Linked DNA regions of Cricetulus griseus. The protein of the gene in region 2 purifies or fractionates together with the protein of the main gene of each other region. This does not show direct contact. Links are inferred from orthologs where the notes say so. Each region holds a gene or a part of one and is shown on either strand. Other genes may lie near its edges.

Evidence for each region.
Region 1: the proteins of Sost (region 2) and Lrp5 purify together in Homo sapiens (affinity purification with mass spectrometry; 3 studies listed by BioGRID and IntAct, counting the BioPlex papers as one, with this or other methods). This does not show direct contact. The link is inferred for Cricetulus griseus from reciprocal best matches to the Homo sapiens genes SOST and LRP5.

The regions. Positions count from the first base shown.
Region 1 is NC_048596.1:55,635,657-55,639,162, forward strand, and holds part of Lrp5 (low-density lipoprotein receptor-related protein 5), read left to right. Parts: intron 1-1,168; coding exon 1,169-1,378; intron 1,379-3,506. UniProt on the Homo sapiens protein: Acts as a coreceptor with members of the frizzled family of seven-transmembrane spanning receptors to transduce signal by Wnt proteins.
Region 2 is NC_048600.1:116,129,626-116,133,631, reverse strand, and holds the start of Sost (sclerostin), read right to left. Parts: upstream 2,804-4,006; coding exon 2,584-2,803; intron 224-2,583; coding exon 1-223. UniProt on the Homo sapiens protein: Negative regulator of bone growth that acts through inhibition of Wnt signaling and bone formation.

The sequences.
Region 1 (3,506 bases), on a different chromosome or scaffold from region 2:
CCTCCAGTCTAGCCAAATTAGTGAGCTCTAGTTTCAGTAAGAGCTCCTGTCTCAAATAATAAGGTGGAGAACCAGCCAGATGACTCCGTGAATAAAGGCCCTTGCCACCAAGCCTGTTGACAAGAGTTTGGTCCTCAGAACCCACATGGTGAAGTTGAGACCTGACTCCACCTACATGTTGTCCTCAGTGACATGTATCCCTGCTCCCAAATATACACATACACACGTAAATGTAATAAAAAATAAGGTGGCTGGAGAGATGGCTCAGTGATTAAGAGCACTGGCTCGTCTTGCAGAGGATCTGAGTTTAGTTCTCTACATTGACCTGACACAACCATCTGTAACTCCAGGTCTAGGAGATCTAGTGCTTTCTTCTGGCCTCCTTTGGACACTGTAGGCTTCTGTCATACAAACATACATGCGGGCAAAGCACCCATATGCACGAAGTAAAAACAAATAAATATTTAAAAATGCTGTGGATGTAGGGCTGGAGGTGGCTCAGTAGTTAAGAGAACCGACTGTTCTTCTAGAGGACCCGATTCTATTCCCAGCACCCATGTGACAGCTCATAACTGTCTGTAACTCAAAGATCTGACACCCTCACACAGACATACATACAGACAAAACACAAATGCACATAAGAATAAGTTATTTTTTAAAAAGCTGTGTGCAGTGATGCACACCTTTAATCACAGCATTTGAGAGACAGAGGCAGGTGGATCTCTGTGAATTTGAGGCCAGGCTGGTCTACACGAAGAACTTCAGGATAGCAAGGTCTATATACAGTGGCCTTGTCTCAATAAACAAATAAATAAAAACCTTAAAAAGATAAATGAGATGTAGAAATGATTGAGACTTCTGGCCTCACATGCATACACACATGTATAAAGATACCTCCTCCACACACTGCCCCCCCAACACACACACACAATGGATGGGGACAGGAAGCACCATGTTTACAGAAGACAGTGACCATGTGGTATGACTTGAACCCAAGGCCAGCCCTTGTGGGAGCAGTCTGCTTCCATGGTCTCTGCCCCAGCTCCCAGCTCTGGAAATCACAGAAAAACCCTAGTCTCCCTCCTGGCCCTTTCTTTAAATCTCCATTCTCCTGAGCCCCGTGGGTCTGGCTCAGCTGCCACTCATGAAGTCTTTGTGCTACCCATAGGGGCCAACCGCCTGACCCTGGAAGATGCCAACATCGTGCAGCCAGTGGGTCTGACGGTGCTGGGCAGGCACCTCTACTGGATCGACCGCCAACAGCAGATGATTGAACGTGTGGAGAAGACCACTGGGGACAAGCGGACTAGGGTTCAGGGCCGTGTCACCCACCTGACAGGCATCCATGCTGTGGAGGAAGTCAGCCTGGAGGAGTTCTGTATGTGAGAGGGGACACCATTTGTGATAGGTCCTCTGGGGGGAGGGTGACACTTCTTGGAGACTGTTGAATCATCCCTGCTGAAATCAGATTGGTTACTGGTGTAAGAACCATGTGCCTAAGGAGGTCTTGGGCTCAGCACTGAAGGCCAGTATGTGTCCTAGTATTTTCATCTGCAGTCATTTGTGTTTACTGCTATACAGAAGTCCAAGCCTGTTCTTTGTTTAATTCTTTCTTGTCTGTCTGTCTGTCTGTCTGTCTTCTAACATTTACCTACCTAGCAATCCCAACCTATCCATCTGTCCATCTCTCTCATCTGTCTGTATCCATCATCTATTTATCTACTTTTAAGGTATAGTCTCTACAGGTAGCCCAGGCTAGCCTGGAATTCTCGACAGTCCTCCGGCCTCAACCTCCTGAGTGCTGGAATTCTCCAACCCCCCCCCTCTCTGTGTGTGTGTGTGTGTGTGTGTGTGTGTGTTTCTCACATGCATGCTCACACGTTAATTCCGCTGTGTTTCTCATGGGTCTGTGGTGAGGCAGTGTGCTTCGTGACAATAATTAGGTGATGAAGCAAGGCTGCATGTACATGATTCATGGCTTGGAACCCAGACAAAGGGAGAGATGGCTTCCTACTATCTCCTTTGAAAACATGCTCCCGCCGGGCGGTGGTGGTGCATGCCTTTAGTCACAGCACTCGAGAGGCAGAGGCAGGGGTATCTCTTTGAGTTTGAGACCAGCCTGGTCTACAAGAGCTAGTTCCAGGACAGCCTCCAAAGCCACAGAGAAACCCTGTTTCGGAAAAAAAGAAAAAAAAGGAAGACATGCTCCCAATGATACAGAGATCCCCCACTAGGCTCCAGCTGTGTTGTTTTTCAGTCCTTGGAATTAAATTCATGTCTCTCATGCATGCTGCTCAAGTATTCTACCCTTGACCTACATCTCCAACTAGGTCCCACTCTTTAAAGGTTCTGCTGCCTCTCACTAGTGCCTCCATGGCTGTAGTCTACCTCTCTTAGGAAGCACAAGTCTCTGGGTTCCAATTAAAGACAAAAGAACAGAAAGGAGCCTTCTGGCTGCTCCACAGGCTGGCACAAAGCCTTTGTGAGTTGCTTATCCAAATATGGCAGTCCTTCTTATCAGCTGCTCAAATCCCTGATTTCCCATGTTGCCCCAGGAACACACTCTGCTTTCTCAGGGTTCAGGATTGGGGCTGCCCCTCCATGCTGCTGTTCCTCAGTGTGGTCCAGGCCCTTGTGGCTAAGCAGGTCTGTACCTGGAGCCCTTCCTGTCTCCCTGATGTCCCTGTCCCTCTATTGGAATCACTCCTGCTACCTGCTAATTCTCCCTCCAGGACTCAGCTTTCACCTTGGCTGTCCCTTTGCTGGGACCATGGTCACATCTCCTGCATCCCTTGTACAGGTGTGCTCAACATTTGACAATGTGATAAAATGTTGTCCACAAAACCCATCCTCGAAATTAACACAATCAAGTTGCCAAAAAACAAAAACAAAACAGAAAAAAACCTCTTTTTTTTTTTTTTTTTTTAAATTGTTTGTAGGGGTGGGACCATACATGCCATGGAACATGTGCAGGTCAGAGAACAACTTTGTGGATTTGAGTCTCTCTTTCTTCCCTTATGTGGGCATCCTAAATAGTTTTCCTGTGGCTGTGATAAACACCATGACCAAAAGCAGCTAGGGAAGAAAAGGGTGTGTTTGACTGACAGGTCACAGTCCATCATTGAAGGAACCCAGGGAGGAACTCAAGGCAGGAGTGGCGGCAGATGCATGGAGGAGCACTACTTAGTGGCTTGCTCCCATTACTTGCTCAGCCTTCTTTTTTACACCATCCAGGACTACCTGCCCAGGTATAATGCATCATTCAATAGTCAAGAAAATGCCCCCAGACACATGTCCACACACTAATCTGTTAGAGGCAGTTCGTCAATCAAGGTCCCTTCCCTCTTCAAATGACTCTAGGTTTTGTCAAATTGACAAAAAGCTAACTACCACAGTGGTTTCCAGGGGTTGAACTCAGGGATTGAACACACAGTTCCTTCACTTTCAGGGTCATCTCTCAGGCCTTGTCAAGATTTTTTAAGTAAGTTTCTGGTTGTATGTTGGGG
Region 2 (4,006 bases):
CACAGCAGTTGCACCCGCTGCGCGCGGTAGCGGTCCGGGATGCAGCGGAAGTCGGGTCCGTTTGGGCGCCACCACTTCACGCGGCCGATGGCGTTAGGCAGCAGGCGCGCGGGGCCACACTGGCCCGAACACACCAGCTCGGTGACCGGCTTGGCGCTGCGACACGGCCCGTCCGTCACGAAGCGGGTGTAGTGCAGCTCGCGGCAGCTGTATTCGGACACGTCTGCGGAGAGAGCGAAGCGTAAGGGCGGCAGCCTAGCCCAGGCTGGCCTGCTCCCGCTATTTTCTCCCTGCTTTTTCCAAACCTGCTGCTCTCCAGGCGCTTTCTCAGCCATGCATGGCTTATAGGAAGGAAGCACCAGGTACTTTTGGAGCTTGCAGGGGAAGATCTCTCCCTGGCTGCTCACTGTCCTTAGAAGCCAGTGATCAAACACCAGAGCTCGGCCATTTACTTTCTATGTGGTCGGTGGGCAAGCAACTTAACGTCTCTCTTCCCCACATCTGTAAAACAGGTTGCCCCAGGATTCAATGGCTTCATCCACTACATGCGCATTATACCGGGCGCTACATGGCACAGTCAGAGCTGGCAGTATGTTCTTGTTTGGGGACTGGGTCTTATGTAGCCCAGGCTGGCCTGAAATGAGCTGTGTACTTGAGGATGATCTTGAGTGTCTGAGCTCCCATCTTCACCTCTCCGGTGGTGGTATACAGGCGTGGATCACCCACTGTCTGGCTTATGAGGTACTAGGGATCCGGCCCTGAGCTTCGCGCATAATAGCCAAGCAATCTTCTAGAAATTTAGCTCCTTATCCCCAGCCCTGCCTAGCAGCCGCTAGCCAGCTAGGGCTGACTCTGGTCCCTTCTAAATTTTTTACCAGTCACTGGAGCAGGGACGGGGGCTCAGGAGATGGAGAAACTAGTGGAGGTTAATTGAAGGTAATAAATCAGGACAGCTGCTGTAGAGAAGCGGGTAGAAGGGCGGGTGGCAGGGATAAGAATTCATTAGACTTGAAAGCAACCAAAGGCGGCGTTTGCAACCCCCTCATTATCACAGGTCCAGGCTGAGAAAAGAACTTGCCCCAAAGGCAGGACTGGGTTGCCTGACACCCCTGCCTAGGATGCCAGCACCTTCTGGCTCCTTCAAGGGTGAAAGTGATTTGTTAGAGGATCCCAGGTTGGGGAGGGGTTGGGGTGGGGGGGAGAGGGCTGCTCACTCTTCGCTAGCTACTTCCTTAGCAGAGGGAGTCAGAGTTCTGGCCCCCAGCCCTACAGCTTCTACCCCCATAAGCATTTGTTTAGCACCTGCTGCATACCAGGCTCTCGTGTTCTGTGTGCCTTGAACAATAGCTCATGGTGATGCAAGCCTGCCTTCTGTGGAAGAGGCTGGGTCCCATGCCTGGCCTCATCTCATGCACACACCCAGGCTATGTCTCCCACCATGGGCTTAGGTGGGTGGACAGGAGCTTTTAAGCTAGATAATTCATATGTGAGTCCTGTCTACCCCCAAAAGTTTCACAGAATGAGCCCTAATATGGCATGAAAAGATTTAAAAAAAAAAAAAAAAGTTCCAGAACCAAAACCAGAGAGAAGCAGAGGCCAGCAACCACCTCCACCCCAGAGAGCAGGCACAGCTGCGGAAGTGTTACCCTTCTGTGGCTGGCTCTTTGGTTTCTGGGCTGATTTGACTTCCTCACCCCTGTAGAGGTGGTATGTGGAGGCGAGTCGATTTGCCCAGGGAAGGATAAGTTTGGGGGTTTTCCAAGAATAGTGTCCTTAGGTCAGGCACTTCCTCTGCAAAACGTGACCACATTGCACGCTCCTCTGCTCCTGCTTCTCCAGGGTAGCGCTTTCCCCATTCTCCTCACTGGCCAGGAGACAGGAGAGACAGGAGAGACAAAGCTGGGCCAGGGTGCAAGCAGAGGGCAGATGGTGCCACCTGTGCCCATATGGGGGGACGCTACACTCATCTGCCAGTCATGTCACTGGCTAAAACTGTACCTAAAAGCCTGTTCTCTGATGCTAACCCACTGCGCCCAACAGGGGGAACTGAGTGGGGGTTCTTTCCGGCTTCAGGTTCCAATCCAAACCCAATCTAGGGTTGTGTTGCAACTGGATCAAACCAGCTTCCAGTCTCAGCTCTTTTACCCCTTCTCCAAGGTGGCTTTATCTCAGGAGCCTCAATCTATCCACCTTCAAGCTAGGATTACCTTATGGGGTGGCCATACAGTACAGCCACAGCATCCATCAAGGTGCTTACCAGCCTTACCTTGTCACCTTCCCACTGGTCCAGCCAGATCTAGGAGATTCTTTGAACCATCCTACAAGCCCTTGCCTAAGTTAATGCCAGCTTCGGCTGATCTCGGCCTGACCCCTGTCTTGGGTGCTCAGCCAGCCCCCCTCCCCAAGCCTGTCCTCAGACTCTAATGCTGTGCTAGCATTCTTCCAGGCAAGCTTGTCCCTCCCCTGGTGTGGCAGAGGCTAACTATCCGCCCAATCTCCAAGGCCTCCAAAGAGCAGATTCTAAAACTACCCCCATTACCTCCCGGGCCCCCATGCTAACAACTTGTCTTCTCCATCCCATACCTTTGGTGTCATAGGGATGGTGGGGAGGTCTCCCTCCATTCTCTGCCCGGTTCATGGTCTGGTTGTTCTCCAGCTCCTGGGGAGGCTCAGGGTACTCTCTGAGCCCAGGGATGATTTCGGTGGCATCATTCTTGAAGGCTTGCCACCCTTGACCCTCCACAGCACGGAAGGCTGCATGTACAAGCAGGAAGACAAGACACAGGGCTAGCGAGAGCTGCATGGTGCCAGATGGAGGAAGGCACTCAGTAGCACAGGCTCCAGTCCCCAGCCTAGATACAGTCGCCTTTTAAAACCCCCTCTGCCTCATGCCAGCCAATAAGGATGGACTAGAACAGGGCTGTTCCCAAGTTTCCTCACCCCCCCTCCTCAGGGGAAAGGGGTGTGCTCAGAGCAAGCCCTCCCCAAGACTTCTTAAGCTCAGCAAACTTCCAAATTGCTGCTGGCACTCCCAGGTGACCCAAGTGGGAGGGGGTGCGGTGAGGCAAGGACAGAGCCAACTCTCCCAGCACCTCCCACGTTCTGACGGCTGTGGTTTTCAGATATCAAAATGAGCTTGGCTTTTAATTGTCTGGCTCCCTGGGCCCCTCAGGCATTCTCAAAACAAACTGTGGGCCAGCTTAACAAAGGAAACATGTGGAGTTCTACAGAAGGCAGAGTCCAGCTGACCAAATTCCTCTAGCCAAGTTCCTTTGTCACCCCACCAGCTAATGGTCTTAATTAAAGGTGTCTGTTGCACCCCACTACCCACCCACAAGCAGAAGGATGCCTTTTTTATTTGGGGGAATCCAACCTAAGAGTCTCATGCTTGCTATGCAAGCACTCTTCTACACGGGTGCTTTTAAAGAAATCCCATTGGCCTCAAGTTCATATGGCTCAGCACTGAAGATTCCGAGCAAAAGTCCCTTGGCTTTCTCCTTAAAACCAGGGAGAAGTAGAGAGTCCAGAGCCACCGGTGAGAAGGTGGGATTCTGGCAACAGGTGGAGGGTAAGCACAGCTCTTGGAGATGGAGCACAAAGAGGAAATCTCTTCTACCCTTTGGGACCTGGGATCCATCACAGGTGATGCTTAGCCAGGGAACTTGATGTGGCTTATAGACTGGTGTGCCAAAGGCAGTTCCTTCCCTGGCCAGGCCTGGGGCAGGCAACACAGAATCCTATTTCTTAGCAAAAGCCAAGGCCAGTGCTTTTAGTGGTGACATTTCTCAGTTAGTGCCGCCATTTCTCAGAGTATTACACTTGCTGTGTACATGTGTGCATGGTATATGTGTGAGAGGGTACATGTATGTGTGGGTGCATACAGACCAGGGGAGGTGTGTGCTCCTCTGTCACTCTCCAGGTTATTCCCTGAGACAGGATCTCTTCCTGAGACATTCAGGTTAGGCTGGCTAGTGGCCTCCCGTGATCCACCTGCCTCTGCCCCACC